Elephas maximus indicus: one gene and its partner. The protein of the gene in region 1 interacts with the protein of each later gene in a pairwise test. Links are inferred from orthologs where the notes say so. Each region holds a gene or a part of one and is shown in the gene's direction. Other genes may lie near its edges.

Region 1 (10,406 bases):
AGGCCTGAGGGGCTCTACCTTTCTTTCATAAGGATATTTGCAGTAGCATTTAGGGTCTACCTGGATTCTCCAGGATTAAACCATCTCAAGGTTCTTAAATTAATCACATCCACAAAGACCCTTTTTCCAAATGAGGTAACATTCACAGGTTTCAGGGATTTTACATGGATATCTTTTCGAGGGCTATTTTTCGGTCTACCACACTGCTCATTCTTACTAACTCTGATGGTCAGACTGTGGTAGACAACAAGATGTGCTGCCCAGATTCCCTTTCAGGAAGGACCTTCTGCCCAGTTGTGGGAGTGTCAGCACTTGGCCTCCAACTGTCAGCTCCTTCAGGGTCTGCCTCAGTGGCAGAAACTCACCTCACAAGAAGGTGCACTCTTCTTGGGGCAGCCTACATCTGGGGACATAATAGTCCAGCCATTTAAGGCCTCCGAAAGACACTCCGAGGGACACTATTCACTCCAGAGAACCCCACCAAGTTGACCGAGGCAGTTGGACTTCTCCCTCTCCCCAATCTTACTTCCTACTGGTTCCTCTCACAGGTATTAATCCTTCATAAACATCTTGCCCCCCACACTCCACCTGCTTCTAGAGAACGCAACTCGTGACACAGACATTTTAATTTGTTGCCAGTAGGATGGAAGTGGTAGATCATTGTGTCTCTTATGTTTGCACCTCCCTCATTTATGGTGAGCTGGAGCATCTTTTCATATGTTTATTTGTCATTTGTATTTCATGTTCTCTGAAAAGGGTTTCAAGTTTTCAAAGCAGAAAATCTTGCCCACCTCCCCATATGATAGTTGTCCTTCTAGTATCTGCTGACTAAAAAAATACAAGTGCCTTTATGGATTCCTGCATCCTTTCATAATTCCACAGTCTTACAGGGGTCTGCTACCCACTGCCTGGGAACCCTGGTCTATAGGACTAAATTTAAACCCTTTATCATGAACTAGAGGGCTCTTCATGGTCTCCCCTTGCAACCTCTCTGGGATGGTGAGTTTTATGTGTCAGCCTGGCTAAGGTAATAGGACCCAGTTATCTAATCCAACACTAATCTAGGTATTGCTGTAAATGTGTTGTGTAGATACGTTTAACATCTACAATCAGTTGAATTTAAGTGAAGTAGGTTACTCTCTATTATACGGATGGGCCTCATCCAATCAGTTGGAAGTCCCTAAGAGCAAAACAACTGAGGTTTCTGGGAGACGTCCTGCCTCAAACTGTATCGTCAACGCCTGATTGAGTTTCCAGCCTGCTGGCCTGCCCTACAAATTTTGAACTTGCCAGCCACCACAATTGCATAAGCCAATTCCTTAAAATGAATCTCCAGATAGATAGATGGATATAAAGGTATATAAATATGCATGTATCTATCTATCTATCTGTCTGTCTGTCTATCTAAGGAGCCCTGGTGGTGCAATGGTTAAGTGCTCAGCTGCTAACCAAAAGGTTGGCAGTTTGAACCCATCCAGCTGCTCCACAGGAGAAAGACCTGGCAATCTGCCCCTGTAAAGTTTTCAGCCTAGGAAACCCTACGAGGCAGTTTTACTCCATCACATTGGGTTGCTAACAACAACGGCAACATCTACCTATTTATCTATCAAAATATCTATCTATTTATCTGTCTACCTATATACAATACAGCTAAATCTAGATGGATAGATAGACAGACAGGTAGATACAGGGGGAGTCCCTGAATGGTATAAACAGTTAACATGCTCAGCTGCTAACCAAAAGGTTGGATGTTCAAGTCCACCTAGAGGAGCCTTGGAAGAAAGGCCTGATGATCTACTTCCTAAAAAATCAGCCATTGAAAACCCTGTGGAGCACAGGTCTACTCTGACACACATGGGATCACCATGGGTTGGAATCAGCTCCATGGTAACGGTTTTATAGATACGAAAAACCAAACCAAACCCAGTCCTGTCGAGTCAATTCCGACTCATAGTGACCCTATAGGACAGAGTAGAACTGTCCCACAGAGTTTCTAAGGAGCACCTGGTGGATTTGAACTGCCGACATTTTGGTTAGCAGCCATAGCACTTAACCGCTACGCCACTAGTGTTTCCTTTATACGTATAGATATCCTATTTAGAACCCTGATAGACACACTCTTCACAATAAATTCTCTCCAATCTCCCCTTAAGCATCCTGTGTTCCCAGAATAAACTTCTTCAGGAATAGCCATGCTCTCACTTATCTCTATGCTTTATACATTTTATTCCCTCTTCTCAGAATGATGACCATTATTCATCCCCTGCACCCCCCCCCCCTTGCTCCTCTCCCTTCTACCACAATTCATACCATTCCTGCAAGATGCAATCCAAGTGCTACTTCTCCCAGGAGGTAGCTCTGATGTTTTTCCACCCCCATCCCATGCCTTTACCTCCAGTTTGAGTCAGAAACTCCTCCTTTCAGCTCCCTGAGCATCTGAGTATATCACTTTTTTGGTTTGTATGGAATTTTTTTTAAATCACCTACCATGTATGAACATAGTGCTGGGCTCTGGGGCTGCTGTCATGGTGGTATCTTCACACATCATACTTCCCTTAATGACAGGGACTATGTCTTCTTGTTAAGGTCTCCAGCACCCTGGAAGACAGTGCTTGGCAAATAGAGGGTACACAACATTGAACTGCATAGAAAGAAGGCAGATAGATGGGTCATTTGGCCACGGACTTGGTTTTCCTTCTCCTGGAAGAGCAGATCCCCTCACCCACTGTGACAAGGATGATGAGAGAATGAAATGCAGTGTCTCCTTCGAAGATGGCACATCTGATCCATTTCATGAGGCCACCCAGTGAGCTGTTACTCCCCAGAAGACTAACAATGCTGAAAGGACCTGGAAGGCATGGCTGGCCAGGGAGAAGGGAGCATTCAGTGGCCCTGGAGCACAACCCAGCTGACTGGCCTCAAATAGGCCTTCACTGGTGTGTGCTTAACTCAAGCCAGCCAGGTCTGATTTCTTCCCTTTGGTCCCAAGAGGCTCAGGGAGGAAAGGGGCTGGGGAACTTCCCCCCGACCCCCAGCCCATGCCCAGACCTTCCAGTCCAAATCATCATGGTCCCCATTCATCATGACCACGACCATCATTAAATGCCTCCCTGCTCACGGCTGCACCTTTTCCTGCTCCTTTCTTTAAAAGCATCCACTAAGCATCACTCAACTTCAGGTATCACGCAGGGGCTGGGGTTACAGAGATGAGCAAAACCGAACGCCCTGCCACAAGTGGTTCACAGACTAGGTGGGAAGATAGAATGAGGGAAAAAAAAAAAAAAAAAAAAACCCACACACAGAGAGATTACACTTCAAACAACAAGAAATCCAGACTAGGCTGTTGTGTTTCCGGGGCTTCTAGCCCATCAGGCAGATAAATACACACACACACATACATACAGCCCATGTGGCCACAAGCAGACACGCAGGAGACATACAGACCATAAAATACTATATATATCACGGACAAAAGAAGTGGCTTATTTGTATGTCAAAGGTAAGCCCTCTCTTTATGGATCTTGCATGAGGATAAGTAATGATCGCCCAGGATCAGGTGTGGTAAGAAAGGACTTTGGAAAAAGGGGCAGAGACTGTTGGGTAGGGGGACGGTTTCCAAGTGTCTGGTACAACTGGGGAGAAAGTGGGACTCAGGGCAAAGGCCAAGAGGGGAGAACTGGGACTGTTGTGGCTAACAGAGTGAATGGGGCAGGATAAACAAAGGCTCATTTCAGGGAGCAAGAATGCAGGCTGGGAAGACAGACAGGCCTGAGTCTGAATCCCAGCCCCACCAATTACCAGCGATATGACCTTGGACAAATTACTTAACTAGCCAAGCTTTGGCTTTCTTGCCTTTAAAATCTGGCTAATAACAGTATCCACATTACAAGTGTGTTGGAAGGATCAAATTAGATAAGGCTTGTAAAAGTAGTTAGCTCTACACCAGTACGTGGTTATCACTTAATAAGGAAGCTTCCTGGGGCTCTGTGCTTCCCATCCAAAGCTGGCACAGCCCTGGTTATGTCCTTCCCCACCTCCCTACAGGGCTGCCCCTCCCCAGACAGCAGCCCTGGGCCTTCTCCGCCCACAAGCTCCTGGAATTCCCTGTGGCCTTGGAAAAAGAAAGCCCAAAGCCCATGCTCCTGTGCTCTCTGGGGCTGCCTCCCTGAGGCTGACAGCTGAGAACTGCTCTGGAACATCATTCTGCCCCATGTGAGTCACCTGGGGAGACTGTGGGTTGGGGTGAAGTGCCAACAGTCTCTGCCTCCACCGCCTCACCAGGGTGGGTCTAGAAGACCCACCCTGCCCGGCTCTGCCCAGTCTGTTGGTTCAAGGAGGAAAGACGCGCTTTGAGGGTGGGGCGGTGTCATGCTCCTTGGGTTGTCCCAGAGAGCCCAGAACACACAGCTGGAGCCAAGTGTTTGTTGAATCATGCGGGAGCCCAAGCAATTCCTATAGCCTGAGTCAGGACTCTGAGAACGGAGCTAAAGTCCATGAGAGAACCCTGAAGAGGCCTTCCTTCTGCCCTGTGAGCCTTCTTCAGGGAAGCTGGGGATAGGGAATCACTGTCTGTCAGCCCATTCTACAATAATAATTATATGTATAATGTTTTTTATATATGTACACACACATATACATATAGTTTACAAAGCATGAGAAACTCTGTCTAAAGTATATTGTGAACTGCAAAGAATTATGTACATCTAATGTATTTCTTTCTTTAAGCCAATAAAGAGAAATACCCTGAGATAGTCAGGATAGGTGCTATTGCCAAGCTGCAGTTGAGGAGATGGTGGTTATCTGAGAGGTTTTGGAAGTGGTCCAGGATCTCACTGGGCAGGAACCCATCAAGGACATGGTGAAACCCATGTGAAATTGTTCACCACAGGTTAGTAAGTAAACACAATTAAGTTTGTGTGTACCTTGCTTACTGTGGCCAGTGTGTATCTTGCTTACTGGTTAATTTGCCCCTGCGAGCATCAGTGACTCCAGACCTGTAAACCCAACTGCCTTCTGCACACTTTCCACTTGGTGGTCTCCCAACACCACCAACCCTGCAAGTTCAAAGCTGAGATTCCCTCCTCTCCAACACCTGCTCTGCATCCTGCATCCCTATCACAAGAGGTGGCACTCCCGCTCCACCCAAAGTGTCATCTTTGGTGTCTCTCTCTCCCACTCTACCCCTAGCCTATCAATTGCCAAGCTGGTGTCCGTTTTCCTCCTAAACATCTCTCACATCCAGCACTTCTCCTCCTCCCCATGGCTCTGGCCGAGTTTGGGCCCTAACCTCTAGATAACCTCCTGACAGTCTCCCTGTCTCCAGACATGTCTCCCAGGAATTACTCCTCCTTGCCGCCATTAGAGAGATCTATCAAGAATGCCAATCTGTGTAGGTCCCTCTGCCTGGAACCCTTAAAGCCCTTCCGTGTTTCCTCTCTGACTGCAGGGGGTGAAGTCCAAGTTCCTTAACAAGGTTTCTCTATGATTTGACCCTTCCACCTTTACAGTCTTATCTCAGGCCTCGCCCTACCTCTAACTTTTTTACTGCAGGGAGGCTGGCTTCACCGGAAGGGCACTCATGTAGTCACACAGAGTCCTGCACTCAGTTTAATGCTCTGCTTGGTTCTTAATAATTGTTGAACAAGGGGCTTTGCACTGGGCCCCCCAAATTATGTTGCAGATCATGCCATGTGTTGTTCCTTGCACCCCTCTTGCAGTCTCTGGCTCCAAAGCTTTGTCTGTGCAGTCTCCTCACCCTAGACAACCCTTCCTATGAACCGCCTATTCTGCAGCTCTTCCTTTAAGACTCAGTTTAGTTGTTATCTTTGAGATGCTCCCCCTAACCCTCCTCTCTCCCTCTTCTCAGCCTTCATCGCCCAACACACATAGCCAGAGTTAAACATCTCTATTAGATAAACTGAATGGAAAGACAAATGTGACAAGTGCCACAGGAGATGTTCATACTACTATAGACAGTAAAGCAAGGCAAGGTGGGGGGAAGAGAATTAGTGGGACCGGTCGGTCGGCGCTAGGACCTCGAGTACCGACTTATTAATTCCTGCGAAAACATCTCAGCGCCCTCCTCAGGTGGAAGCGGCCGGGGTCGGCTCTCGGACGCCGCCTGTCGCAATCGTGCAGCCGCTGCAGCCCTTTTCAGGCTCCCCGCCCCGCCCCGGTCCTGAGCCCGCCTCGCGTCTCCCATTGGCTGCTTCCCGTTCTCCCGCCCCTCTCGGGCTCAGCCATTTGGAGTCTGCCGGGGGGTGGGGCTTGGGGCCAGGGGTGGAGCATGCGCCCCGATTGGTTCTGCGGAAGGCGGTGACGTGGCCGAAGGAGGCCTGTTTGTGCCAACACCGAGGATCAGGCACACCGCCACAGGATTGGTGGTGGGGCGTGGCTGGCTTGGGTCTCCTGGCCGGAAGCGGAAGTGGCGGAGAGATGCAGGTGGCGGTACGGTTGATGGGGGAGTGAGGGTCTGGCCTGGGACCCCTCGACGGTGTCCGTCCCCGACCCGCTCCCCCGGCCTCGTCCCCGGGCGCGACCCTCCCTGGCCCATTGTTCCAGTCCTGCAGGGTCCTGCAGGGTGGCGGTTGGAACCGTGAAATGAGCGCGCGAGTGGCGTGTCCCCTCTCGGCACTTACGCCCCCCTCCCCGCTGTGTTTCCCGTTAGGAACATCAGCACGTGCCCATCGACATCCAGACCAGCAAGCTGCTCGGTAGGAGGGAGTGCTTCCGCGCAGCCGGCTGTCGGGGGCGGGGAGGCCCGGTTCTTTGCCCCCAGTCGCCGCCAACAGCCAGGAGTCCTGACTCCTGATGGTTGAGGCACTGACCACTAGCCAAGCCAGCTTCTGTGCGTCACCTATGATCATACCTGCCTCGCTAAGAGGAATGGGAAGGAACCAAACGTAGAGTCCAGCACTTGACTTGCGTTTTCTGTTTTAACATATGTCATCAAAACGTATCATTTCGGTACAGAGAGGGTAAACGTCTTGCCTTAAAGACATCCGTCTACTAAGTGGCAGACCCGAAGTTGGCACTTCAATCTGTCTGGCCCTGATGACCATGCATTGTTATATTATGCCAGAAGAAAGCTTTCCCTCCTTTCTTCTTACAAGCTTCCATCTCCCCTTGATTTTATGCATCGAGGGGCGTAAGACCCAGTTGGAAATAAGACCTTGTAGTGGCTAGGCCATCTCTCCGCTGTCTGTATGTGGTCCACATGCCTCCTCCCAGTTCAGAGCAGGGGAAGGACCTCTTCCTTCTGTTCCAAGCCTTTGCTCAGCTGTTGCCATTTTTAAATGTTTATTGGATTGATAGATTTGATGCCAGTCTTGTCCTTAAGAGGGTGTCTGACTATCTCAACCATTTGATTCTAGTCCTGTGACATCTGTAGAATTATTCTTTCTGGAAACTTGAGAAATACAGGAGAGGAAATATAACTCATACTAGAATGGGACTCCAGTGTTTGACCAGTGGCTGATTTAGTTAACAGTTCCGGGCCAGCATCTGGGATTCAACACTATACGTGCCCTTTAGTTTGTCCTGTGCAGTGGTCTTTAGCTTCGTTTCACATTTGTCGCAGCTCTTCAGCACGTGTGTACCTTGGTGTATGAGCTTACTGTTGGTTATGAAATGGACCAATAAAACAGCCGCCATTCATTGAGGTTTTGTTCTATGCCAGGCACTGTTTTAGGTACTTGACATTATAAAAATGAGGATCACTAAGATTTCTTGAGTCCTTGCCGTGTGCTAGGCATAAGGGTGAGTGTTTTACCTACATGACTCCTTGTATTCAGTATCTCATTATCCCCATTTTCCATGTGGGGAAACTGAGGCACAGAGAGGTTTGAGAGGCTTGCCCAAGAAATTAGAGAATTAGAGTCTAGGACCATCTCACCACAATAGCTGTCTCCTATTTAGGAAACGTGTACATGACTCTCGGTCCACCCATATTCTTGTTAGGTACCCTTGAGTTGGTTCCAACTCATAGTAGTCCCATGTGACAGAGTAGAACTGCCCCATAGGGTTTTCTTGGCTGTAATCTTTATGGAAGCAGATTACCGGGTCTTTCCCACATAGCCACTAGGTGGGTTCGAACCACCAAGCTTTTGGTTAGTAGCCAAGTGCTTAGCAGTTGTGCCACCAGGACTCCTTGATCCACCCGTACCTTCCACTAAAAATACAAATCTGGGCTCAAACTCCGGGAGGCCAGTCACGTTGGTATTCTCATGTGCAGGGTGGCACTTCACTGTTAAGCATAGATGAGTGTTACCTAGTCCTTGGGGCGCTAGAGGTATTAGGGGCTTTACAGTTGTTCATTCATCCGGTAGTTAGCATAACCGTCTTGTATTTTCCATTGTCATGGTTAATCCCAGCCCTGAGGAAGTGGAAGTTGAACAGCATCCTCTTTTAGCAAGAAAGATATAATTACCCATAGAAGCAAAAATATTATGAAGACTTTAGAGTGTCAGAAATGGCACTTTCATGTCAGGATCAATTTAAAGTTTTGGTTTTTATTTTTTAATCCCTGTGTCAAGGCAGTTCCTCTATAAAAATCACCCTGAGGATGAAGTCAGGTTGCTGGAGTCTATTCAGCCCCAAGCATCCCTTTGGGTTTGTCTTGACTCTCATTCTCCCATGACCCCTATAGCTTAACCAGTATGAAGAAAACCCGCACCCAGTGCCTCAGCCTGTTCCACTTGGATTAGTGATGGGTTTTGGTGGTGGGAGTGGGAATGCTGTGATTTGGGTGTTTTTCGTATAGACTGGCTGGTGGACAGAAGGCACTGCAACCTGAAATGGCAAGGTCTGGTGCTGACAATCCGAGAGAAGATCAATGCTGCCATCCAGGACATGCCAGAGAACGAAGAGATCGCCCAGCTACTCTCAGGATCCTGTGAGTGCTTTGGGGCTACATTGCTGGAGTCCCTGCTTCCCAGAACAGTATGTGTCAGCTGAGCTGCTCCCCTGTTCTTAAGCACTGGGCTGACCCCCAGAAAGATTTTTGTTTGGGGTATAAATGATGGTTTCTTCCAACACAAAATAGTAAAAAGGGAGAGCTGTGCATGTTCATCATTAACTGGCAGTTCACATGAATCAGCCACACGCCATGTTGTTGTCAGAGCAGGTGGGAAGTTCTTAAATTGGAATTCTCAAAGTTGTCACTCTTCTTTGCTTCCCAGACATTCACTACTTCCACTGCCTGAGAATTGTGGACCTTCTTAAGGGCACTGAGGCTTCCACGAAAAATATTTTTGGCCGGTATTCTTCACAACGAATGAAGGCGAGTGTGGGCTGAGGGCTGGGAACGGGCAGCTAGTGACCTCCAGCCTATGGATTTAGAGCCTCTCTAGTTTTTCTGAGGATCTGGTGGGAGACTCTGATTTAGAATATTTCCTCAACTATCCCTGTGTCCCCATAGCTCATGCCAAAAGTAGATCCTACCCCCTGGGTTGACATTTTCAGACCTGCCACTTTGGGGATCACTTGTTGGCACCATGCTCTTAAAGTGGGTGGTCCAGCCAGCGTTTTAGGAGTTGAAGGAGGACAAGGAGTTTATGTTTGATGTGAAGACTGGGAGGGCTTCCCCTGCTGAGGGATTGAGCTGGGATATGACTGCAGAGTGCTTTTCTGGCTCACTTCCTGTTTCTCTTCCTACTCAGGATTGGCAGGAGATTGTAGCCCTGTATGAGAAGGACAACACTTACTTAGGTAAAGTGGCCCAGTCCTGGTGACTGGGGGGAAACCCACCCACTCCAAGGGTTCTGGGACACCAGGTTTATAGAAGGCACAGCTGGTGTCTGGGAAGAGGCAGGGGTGTAGATGTTGCCTCTTGGGGGCAGGGGAGGAAAAGGAAGCAGAGTAGGTAGGCCTGAGTAGGGGTGTGAGATAGAGTGGAGTGCCCCCATCCCTGTCCTGTGGGAAGAAGAGTCATGCGCCATCTTGGGGACCACCATCTCGCACCTGACAGGGAGCAATAAAGGGCTGATTGTGGTTCGGCTTATGTTTTGTAATAGTATAAGTAATAACAATAATAGCAGCCAATATTTTACTGAGCACCCATTATATGTAAGGAGTTGTGCTTGGTATTTTGCATGGATTTCCTTTTTTACTCCTCACGATAGGTATTATGGGTCTTGTAATATTAATGTCCCTGTTTTACAGATGAGGAATGGACCAGAGAGGTTAAATGACTGGTTTTAGGTTCCACAGCTAGGAAGGCAGCAGCTGGGAAGGCAGCCCCATGCCCTTCACCACCACGAGGGCATTTGTGTGTCCTGGGGCATGCTGGCCTTTTGGTGTGGTTGGCCTGAGGTGTATTTCCTGGGCCCTTCTTAGTGGAACTCTCTAGCCTCCTGGTTCGGAATGTCAACTATGAGATCCCCTCACTGAAGAAGCAGATTGCCAAG
Region 2 (10,912 bases), on another chromosome or scaffold:
GTCAAACTTTTATTATATAACCAATGTTTCCAGTTACATCTGATTAACAGGGAGGACAGAGTCTTACTGAAGTAATGCAAATAATTACATTGCCATAAAAATAAGAATATTCAATAATGGTTTCCAAATTCTAGAGGGATGAAGCAGGGAGAAAAAGACAAATATTTCATTTCTGTTTACAAAAGCACAGTCTACGCAATTGTAATGGGTTATAGATAGCTTGAGAGAAAAGAGAAAGGAGTTCCTTATATCTAGAAAACAGAACATTAAAACATCCGCAATATTCGAAACCAAATCCATAATCATCCTTCATCAGTTCATTCATTCCCATGCAGTTAATTCTTCTTTTGTGTGATCTTGTGTTAGCAATTTCATGAACCCATCAGCTTCTCCACTTGTTAGCGGCCATTGAGTTGGCCCCTACTCATGGTGACCCCCTGCACAACAGGATCAAACTGTTGAGATTCAAAGGGTTTTCAATGGCTGATTTTCAGAAGTAGATCAGCAGGCCTTTGTTTCAGCATCACAGTATCACATAAGCTTCCACTGACAGATGGATGGTGGTGACTGTGATAGAGGTATATTGGCCAGGAATCAAACCCAGGTCTCGCAGGTGAAAATGCTACCACTGAACCACCACCGTCCCCCATTCTCCACTAGAGTTCTGGAAATCCTGATTCAGTCCAACAGGATGGTCTCAAGGTTATTAATCAATGCTATCAGAAGCCTGTGCCCAACAGTACCTGGCATAGTTCCTTCTATAAGTCTCTGAGATAGTCTCTTCTTGTTGAAGACAAAGAACTCTGACCTATAGCTGATTGCAAGTATTTTCAGGGAAGCATCAGAGTAAAACAAAAATATATGTAGTGGACAAAAGACTTAAAATGGCCGTGGTTAACTTATTACTGATAATTTTCAAAAGTGAAAGATCTGATGAGAGTCCATTACAAAAATAATGTAAAAGACAGGGAAATTTGGTTAGTGTATTTTTACACATATAATGCGTGCCTTCTACATTTGTTTACCAATTGCTCCCTCCCCCGCAAGGTATTTTGGTAAGCTCCACTATGCCAATTCTTTTTACATGTGCTATAGCAAAATTGGAAACCCTGGTAGAGTAGTGGTTAAGTGCTACAGCTGCTAACCAAAAGGTTGGCAGTTCGAATCCACCAGGCGCTCCCTGGAAACTCTGTGGGACGGTGCTATGCTGTCCTATAGTGCTGCTATAAATCGGAATCGACTGGATGGCAATGGGTTTGGTTTTTGGTTTTATAACAAAAATTAGAATAGCGCACTTAGGAAAATACCTTAAGGGGTGAGGGAGTAGTTGGCAAACATAGAAGTCACACACTATTTGCATAAAAATACAGTATTTCTGTGACATGCGACATTTTAGAAGTTGAAATTATGACAGATTACATTATTATTGTCTAACATGAGGCAAAGCAGAACCAGGGCATATCATGGACAGGAAGAGCACTGAAAAATCTCTAGAAAGTTCACACAATTTCTGAAAATACATTAATAACATGTTGTCCATATAAATTTAACCTAGGGAAAGTTAAACATCTCTCGTTTGACAATGCTTCCCATGAAACTCATAACCTATCAAATACGCCTTATTATTTGTAGTACCTTTCTTTTTTACAAGGTGAAGGGACAAATCCTTTATGATTTTTCAGAGTTTTAGGTGCAAAAGATATTATTTAGGATTAGATTTTGGAAAGACAAAATGCCAAAAGCTAACACGAGGTTTGAATACTTGATTAAATAGGTTCATGGCTATGGAGAAAGAATACTTGACTACCGACTTAACCAGAGTGATAATAAAAGATTTTAAAAGTACATATAGGAGGTACCATGGCTATTAACCTAACTCTTTCAGAAGTGAGAAGAGTTGGTTCCCTTAATTTTGTTGAGTATTATCAGTCGAATACCCCAAAACTCTCAGAAATTAAGAAAACTGAACTTCTGATACTTCCAAAGTAAAAAAAAAAAAAAAAGCGGGGGGGGTACTCCTATGAAAACTAACCCAAATGTTTTAAAAATTCAAGTTCATGTAATTTTGGTGAATCTGTGACAAACTAGTTTACTATTGTTTGTTTAATATAAACAGCTGTCTTCTGAGTTATCAATGTTAATTTACATAAAGTATGGCACATCTGGAGGTTCGGTGGTAGAATTCTCACCTTCCATGCAGAAGACTTGGGTCCGATTCAAAGCCAACACACCTCATGCACAGCCACCACCCATCTGTTAGTGGAAGCTTGCAAGTTGCTATGATGCTGAACAGGTTTCCATGGATCCTTCTGACCAAGACAGACTAGGAAGAAAGGCCTGGTGATCTCCTTAAAAAAATCAGCCAATGGAAACTCTACAGATCACAACAGTCTGATCTGCAATTGTGCAATCATGGGGATGGCACAAAACTGGATAATGTTTCCTTCTGTTGTAAACAGGGTCACCATGAGTCCAGAGCCAACTCAACTGCTGCTAACAAACAAATGTTTATATAAGTGCTTATTTATCTCTAAATTAAAATAGAGCTCCTTGAAGGAATTTTATAAGTTAATTTTGGTAATACCATTCAGAGGTAGGAATGTATTATACGTATATACATATATATATATATAAAAAACATGCTGACAGATACAACTATAGAGCTTATATCTTTAAAATTTCAGCCATGAATTAGGCATAAACACCAAAGTATAAAACTCACAGGTTTATATAAAACAGCTGACTTTAGTTCCTACTCCACCTTTATATTTTTACTAAAACTTTATTTCTGGCAGATGGGACAGGTTGGTGTTATCAGTCAATATGAGGGGTAAATCTTCCCCACAAATATTTGTAGAGATGACTTTAAGATTTTCTTGCACTATTGTATAATTTTAGGGAAGCTGTGGATTAAATTTTAGGTAGAAACTCAGAGACACCAACTGACTGGGTGTTTCCAAAGTCCATTCGGATGAATAAAGTATCCAGTTTGTTTCCAGTTAACTTTTCAGCCTTAGATGGTTGCTTTTGGGGTCCCTGAGCACCTTGCTACAGTGGTTTATTGGACTGAAGAGAAGGTGGTCCATGAACTGGGTTGTAAAGGAAAATTCAAAGAGTGGAGCAGGAGGTTCAGGGAAGAAGGGGTATAAGGGATTGTTGGGGGAAGGCCAGTCTGTTACACATATGCAGTGTGAAGGGGATGGAGTGGGAAGGGAAAGGTCTGACAGGGGTTAACAGAAGGTTGGAAGAAGTAGGAGTACTAAAGGGGGGCAGATAAAGGATTCAAGGGAGCTGAAGGGAAGGTTGATGGTGGGAAAAAGGAAAAAGGAATAAGGGAGAGTGATGGGAAGGGAGCGGTCTTAGATGAGCTAGTTTGTGAAGATCTCAAGTTTCCCAAAAAAGGCAACTGAAGTTCTAAATTGCATTAGTAAAAGCTGACCATTTTTGGAGATACTAGACAGAATGACTGCCACAGTGGCAGTAATGTTGGAGGAAGAAGGAAAATCAGAATTTCCCATAGTGAAGAAAAAAAAAAAAAAAAAAGTGAAGGGAGGTGCCAAAATAACAGACCAAAAATCAAATGAGATCTCAACAAAAGAAGATGATCAAAATTAAAATGAAATATGGATAAAGAAGACCAAACTCCAAACAAGCGCTCAATAGAGGCCTCACAGAAGCACTGGAAATTTCCCAGTCGAGTCAGATTCTGGATCCCCACTCAAAGTAACAAGAAGACACCTGCCAAAGAAAATTCTTGCTTGACCTTCCATGAGACAGTCACTGGGCTAAAGAAGAAACTTCTATGCAGCTCCTTATCTAGCTGGGATGAGCCTGACCCGTATGAAACAACCAACAAAGTTAAAAAGTAGAGAACACATACATACCAAATTGGTTGGCAAAAGTCATAAGAGCTATAGAAATTCAGAGGACTATCAGGATGGTAAGATGGTTAAGGAACATAGGAGATGGAAAAAAAAAAAACTGCCAATTAATATATATATATAACTACGGGCCAGTTAACCTCTCTGAGCTTCCTAGGTCCTTGCTTATGAAATTAAATGCATTTAAAATGCCTACTACAATCTATATGAGGTAGACTTGCGATGAGTTTTAAAAAATGGACAGGGTGTCATGAGTGGAAAGTGATTCAAGTGACAGGATTAGTCAAAGCTAAAACTAAAAAAAAGAAACCTGTTGCTGTCGTGTCAATTCCAACTTGTGGCGACCCCATGTACGTCTCGGCCAAAGCTACGAACAGGGATATTTCAAGCAGTAGAGATATAAGCCATGGTATTTTCAGTTGCTCCATATGTATTCGAAAGCTGGACAATGAATAAAGAAAACGGAAGAAGAACTGACACCTTTTAATTATGGTGTTGGCAAAGAATATTCAATATACCATGGACTGCCAGAAAAAGGAACAAATCTGTCTTGAAAAGCACAAATAGAATGCCCCTTAGAAGCGAGGATGGCGAGACTTCAATTCATGTATTTTGGATATTATCAGGAGGGACTAGTCCCTGGAAATGGACATCATTGTAGGTAAAGTAGAGGGTTATCAAAAAAGAGGAAGACTGTCAATGAGATGGACTGACACAGTGGCTGCAGCAATGGGCTCAGGCATAATAATGATTGTTAGGATGACACAGGAGTAGTGTTTCATTTTGTTGTACATAGGGTCACTATGAGTCAGGACTGACTCGTCAGCACCGAACAAGAGATATAAATGTTTTTAAAATTTTAATATATACATCAAGAGAAAAAAGTTCACAGTTAGTAGCCCTACATAATTGAATAATTTTCTGTTGCAAATAGAAAACAGTTTTTTTTTTTCCCTGCATGGCAAAGTAATTTTTCCGTAAGCACCTGCTTTTTCTCTGCATCTTGGCTTGTTATAATCCAAAAGAATTGCTCCTTCGACAGCTCAAAGATTCTTTAGAAAAAGAAACGAAGCATAGCAGTGCTAAAGAATGACTCAGAGTCTCACACTTAATTATAGCATACTGTTTACTTGTTTACAAAGAATATAAACCAATATATTGATTTCCCCCCTCAAAGGTAAGATTTAATAATGGAAAGAGGGCAGAGAAAAGTAATTACAGTTGGAGAAGTATGACTCTAGCTTGCACATTTTTTATAGGATGACTGATTAGCTGGCAGCCAGTAGAGGTCAATTTGGATAGTTATGTCCTTGTGTAGGCTACTAGAGGCACAACAAAAACTCAAACGTCTATAAATTCTCCAGAAAGCTTTTGTGAGCTAAGCTATGAAACTGTGACAGATGTTTTCTTTGTAGTGTCTGCCAGTGTCTTTCCAACAGCACCTCATCCTTAGTTGGAGTATGTTTCTCATTAGAAGTCTCATACATATTGCTTCTCTCTCTAAATCCTTCTCACTAGATCCTCTTCCAAGCCCGTGTTTGAAAGTGAACAAAATCTGGGGAGCTTCCTGAGAAAGTTTCTCTTACAAATAGTTATAATTGTTTCTCTAATATGAATTTAAGGTATTAATCATAAATATGTAACATTTAAGTTTCCCTTCGGTCTTACATTGTTCTAAGGGTAAACACCAGTATTCTCACATCCCAACAAATAACACAAATAGCAGACAGTAGTGACATTACTGTCAAACGAATTCTATGAGCTGACTTGAAAAGTTAATAGCTAAACTTACTTTACATAAGCAAATATTTTAAGAGATGTTTAATAGCTTAGGTGGCTACAAACAGTTGATTATTGCCTTTTTACTGCAGTGAATTACCATAGAGCAAATATTGGTAATATTTGCTAGCTTCATGCCCACAGGAAACCCTGGTGGTGTAGTGGTTAAGTGCTACGGCTGCTAATGCAGAGGTCAGCAGTTCAAATCTGCCAGGCGCTCCTTGGAAACTCTATGGGGCAGTTCTATTCTGTCCTCTCTCTGAGTCAGAATGGACTTGAGGGCAGCCAGTTTTGTCATGCCAACAGGCATTATGCAGCAGGAACTCCTTTTAGATGAAGATTATAACCTGAGGATAAGCAACATATAGTATGCAACATTTGAGAGATTAAAGTACCCTGAAATGATATTTATTTCAGTAATAAGGGTGAAATGTGTGTTTGTGTCGGGGGGGAGGGGTGCCGCCTCTAAGTAAGGAAAAAACATTTTACAACCCATATTAGCTAAAAGAGGAAATATTGTCCAATTGCTTTATAGATGTTGTCCAAAGTACATAAACTTTAAAATCTGTAAGGCAGGTTTAAATAATCTTTTTATTGTACCTTGTTAGGATGAGCAGACTTTCCATTTCAACTGCTCCTAATTTTATCATCACACTTAACACAGCAAAACTCCACTTTTCTTAAAAACCAAGCTCTGCATGTCTCAATTCTTTGGTAATAGCCAAGAATCTGTACAAGGAGGGAAGACCTGTGAATTGCACAATCTACTGAATCTTAGAAATCCTCATTAACACAGTTCCTGTTTGGGTTTGGTTTACCTCCATTTAAAAAGCCAAAAACCAAATCCGTTGCCGTCGAGTCGATTCTGACTCATTCCGACCCTATATTTATGTAAGTCAAATCTTTTTTCCAGGCTAAATTCACATTTTGTAATACGAAGACAAAGGAATACGCTAGGAATGACAAGCATAATAGGGGAGGGGGAGAGAGGCGGTCTCGCGAAGTTTTAAGATACGACAGCCCTGACGTCAACCGTTGCCATGGAAGCATCAGCCAAAGACGAAAAGAAGGGTGGTGCGAGGGGCTCATTGGGGAGGAGCGCGGCTTCCAGAGAGGACAAGGACAAGGGACGCTCCTCTTGCTGGTTTAAGTTCTATCAAAATGAGTGGTCTGGATGGGGACGATAACCTCCCTTTCGCTAAAAGCCGAGACCTCGCTACTCCCGATCATGCCACGGGAGACCCGGACCCACGCCAGTACCGGAGGCTCCAAAGGGAATCCGATGTGACACAGGTGATGGCGGACATGGCCGGAGTCACCTTGGGGACCGCCGCAGGTTCTTTCGACTGTGGCTTCGCGCTCCGCTTCCGAGTTCCTATTAACCGCAACCAGGCTGCAGCCAAAGCCGGGCAGGAAAAGGCTCCACCTCCCACAGGACGCCCGAAAGCCGCCTGTGCCTCCGTGGCGTTTGACCGCACCCTGAAAAATGGCCACCTTGGTGAAGAGCTGCAGGGCCCTGCAGGGGAGAAGGCCCTAGAAGCCCGTGGCGCAGTAGGCGTGGCGTCTCAGATGATGGCGGGGGCGAAGGCCAAGGAAGTGACGACTAAAAAGTGCGCCATCTCAGCGGCAGCGGAAAAGAAGAGAGAAGCAGAGTGGGTGGTGGAGGAAAAGGCGGTACAGAAGGAAAGAAAGGCTGTAGGGGAGATGAAACAGGAGAAAGCGGCCAGAGTACCGAAGACCGGTAACTCCCCGGGCTCGCTGGAGGCCATCGATCAGGAGCTGTCAAACGTAAATGCCCAGGCTGACCGGGCCTTCCTTCAGCTGGAGCGCAAGTTTGGCCGGATGCGAAGACTCCATATGCAGCGCAGGAGCTTCATCATCCAGAATATCCCAGTTTTCTGGGTCACTGCCTTTCGGAACCACCCCCAGCTATCACCTATGATCAGTGACCAAGATGAAGATATGATGAAATACATGATCAATTTGGAGTTGGAGGAGCTGAAACACCCCAGAGCCGGCTGCAAATTCAAGTTCATCTTTCAGTGCAACCCCTATTTCCGAAATGAGGCGCTCGTCAAGGAATATGAGCGCAGATCCTCAGGCCGAGTAGTGTGTCTTGCCACTCCAATCCGATGGCACCGGGGCCAAGACCCCCAGGCCCACGTCCACAGGAACCGGGAAGGAAACAGTATCCACAGCTTCTTCAACTGGTTCTCAGACAACAACCTCCAAGAATTTGACAAGATTGCTGAGATTATCAAAGACGAACTGTGGCCCAATCCCCTGCAGTACTACCTGATGGGTGAAGGTGGCCGCAGAGGAATGCGAGGCCCAGCAAGGGAGCCAGTGGAGAATCCCCTGTCCTTCAGGTTCCAGTCTGGCTGACTCCTGCCGTTGTGAGAAGCTCCTTAACAAGTTTCCTTACCACCTCGTCTTGGACCTGTGCTTAGCCAACAGCATGCGAACTTTTATCTGCTTTCTCTTTATGCTGGTTTGTCCTTTGGTTCTTCTAAAGCTTCGACAGCCAGTTGCAAGATTGTCACCTCTGTGTCTGTGCTCTTCTGCTTCCTCTCAGCCTTCGCTGCTTTTCTGCAACATGTTACGTGTTCCAAGCCCGTGGCCTACCACCGCTTTGTGCCAGGCACATGATGCTGTAGATGTGCACTGCCTTCCTCTGCATGGCTTGGAACCTGTCAGTGGCTGTGGTCTTCTCCCAGTTTTTTATGTGTTCATCTACAAGAAATCCACAAGGAAGCTTGATAGGTCTTTGCAAACAACTATTTGGACTTCATGCCTTATGCTGACTGTGCTCCTGATACCCATGCGCTCTGCGGCAAGCTTTGCATTTCACCACTGCAAAATGAAGCTAAAATAGATGGTGCCAGCCATCGACCCAAACTGGACATTCCAGGCCTGTATCAACTGTATTTCAGCTGCCTCCCTTGGCCCATGCCATCTACACTGCTGGTTGTCTGGCAGAACAGGGAGGTGGCTAGTAGGTGGCTACTAAGTATGAATGAGGTAAAGGACAAGAAGTGTTGTATGTTTTTACATTGGTTTTCCTGTGCCTCCGTCACCCTGCATTGTGACCAGCTACGGGTGAGTTTATGAAGGCCTCTGCTATGGCCCCCCCCCCCACCTGCTCTCACCTTTCTGGATAAGGTTTGCCTAGGCCACCAGTGTTTGCCTCCTCAGTACTATCTGTGGACCCAGGCTCCCAACCAGCACACAGGCAAACATCCTTCCCACCCCCCAACCTTAAATGATTACCCATAAACCTACTCTGCTGTTAGGCAGGTTGGACAGCCTTATGTGGCAATGTGCAAAGCTAAGGGGAATGGGGCCCCTTTCAGCAGTCAGCCTTTCTGAGCCCCAGCCAACAAACCACACTTAATCTTGGCAACTTTGTTAGGTGCCCTCCTCATCTCCCCTCCTGTACCTACCCTGAACACAACAAGGGTGCCAGGATGGAAAGAGTGCCACAGAGGAAGACGTGTCTCTGGCTTGCAGGGCCTGTTATGCCTGTCTTTCTCTCTCTAAAGCAGCTACAACTTAGAAAACAAAACTGTTAAAGTAGGCCTTTTGTGTAATTTACTCTTCTCTTGATTGTGTTGAGAGGGAGAAAGAGGTACTGTAAAATAGACTTCAGCTTTCTAAGTGCCCTCTTCTGTCCCCATGCCTCCACCCCATTTCCTTTAACAAGTCCTAAAAGTTTCAAAGGGAGACCTATAGGTTAATTGCTTAATTATGAGCAGTGTTCTTTTAGGCTAACTTTGATAACCCCACCCCTTTTCCTTATCTGTTACGCCCAAATCTCCTGGAGGTTTCTTGAGCTTTAGTTTGAGAAACTGGGAGGAGAGAAGTAACAGACCCAGAGCAGGATGTGATTTAAGGCAACTAAAACTAGCTTCACTCCATTTTTCTAAAGATGGAAATTCTCTTTTGGGCCTTGGACTACTTAGAGATATAAAGCCCAAGGCAACATTTTGTAGGTCACACCAGGTTCTCTAGGCTAGGAAACTGAACACAAGCAGAATGCACCTGCCGGAGAGTGGGCCTGGAGACCTGCAGGGCCTGTGGGGGAGGGGAGGCCCCTGGGGCTGTTCCCAGGTAGGGATAGGACAGTCAGAGGGGTTAGGGTTTGAATAGGGTGCTTGGAAGAGGGTTTTCCTCCAATATTCCCTAACTCCTTGAATTCACCAGTAGATTTTTGTAAATAAAAATGCAAGTCTTGATGTTTTCTTTCTATTGTTCTAGGAGTGCCCTTTTGTATGTGGTAGATAGTGATAAACCTGCCCCTCATGTCACCGTTTCTGAGTAAAATCCTGTTAATTCCTTTCCCTATTTCTGCATACTGGGAAAATTGAAGTTTACAGACCTGCTTTTTGCTTGTAATTGAGAAAGTTTGCAAAAATATCGATTTTGTTTTCCCATGCAGTATGAAGATTTGTGTGAATATTTAGTTATATATCTTGCTTGTTCTGGTCTCTGTTTATCTATAGATCTAATCATAGAAATATAATTCAACTAAATGTGATCCTTGTAGAGTCTGAAAATTTTGGAAATTGTTGCTGTATCTTGTGAACATAATCTCCAAAAGAAAAATGTAATTGTTGTCTTACTTGATAATCTCTTACCTTAGTAGCAATGTTGTACTTGACCTTTTATGTTCCTAACCAGAGTAAGTACTTGTAGAATTGCTGTCAGACTAGATGAGGATTGTTAGCATTGTTGTCTTCTCCTATGTACTTGAAGGAAAAATAGTCTGTTATTCTGTTACATGTATTTTCACCAAAAAATAAAAATGAAAGTCAGTCTGCCTGCATTGTCTCAGTTATGAAAAGTTGGAAAATCATTAAAGTTATCAAATGGTCACAGGAAGCATTTTCCTGAAAGTTAAAACAAAAGAAACCACCACCACCAAACCTGAAGATTTTTTGCTTGAAAAATGGTAAGTCTAGCTGCAGTTGTCCAGTTGTCCAATTGTCCAACATCATTTTTCCTAAACAGTGTGGGTTTTGAGTGGTAATTGCAGCACCATATATTGATTTCATCACTTAAAATGCTGTTTTCATCCCAGCTTATGAATTTATGTTCACTGTGCTCCTTTTTGGTGCTCCCCTAGGCCTTATTCTCTTCTTAATTAGCATAAGATGGGACTTTGGAAGAATGAATCATTGTACATTTTATCTGTGAATGCTTCTTAAATTCTTTTCCTACAACAATATGGTGCTTCAAAAGAAATAATAACA

Evidence for each region. The genes of interacting proteins can lie anywhere in the genome.
Region 2: the proteins of CDK5RAP3 (region 1) and TSPYL4 interact in binary tests that used the Homo sapiens proteins (3 or more experiments, as listed by UniProt). The two-hybrid records come from large-scale screens. The link is inferred for Elephas maximus indicus from reciprocal best matches to the Homo sapiens genes CDK5RAP3 and TSPYL4.

Annotation. Positions count from the first base shown.
Region 1 is NC_064837.1:45,517,040-45,527,445, reverse strand, and holds the start of CDK5RAP3 (CDK5 regulatory subunit-associated protein 3), read left to right. Parts: upstream 1-6,343; 5' UTR 6,344-6,435; coding exon 6,436-6,447; intron 6,448-6,667; coding exon 6,668-6,713; intron 6,714-8,761; coding exon 8,762-8,893; intron 8,894-9,179; coding exon 9,180-9,280; intron 9,281-9,659; coding exon 9,660-9,708; intron 9,709-10,335; coding exon 10,336-10,406. UniProt on the Homo sapiens protein: Substrate adapter of E3 ligase complexes mediating ufmylation, the covalent attachment of the ubiquitin-like modifier UFM1 to substrate proteins, and which is involved in various processes, such as ribosome recycling and reticulophagy (also called ER-phagy).
Region 2 is NC_064819.1:182,860,706-182,871,617, reverse strand, and holds TSPYL4 (testis-specific Y-encoded-like protein 4), read left to right. Parts: upstream 1-6,492; 5' UTR 6,493-6,821; coding exon 6,822-8,045; 3' UTR 8,046-10,475; downstream 10,476-10,912.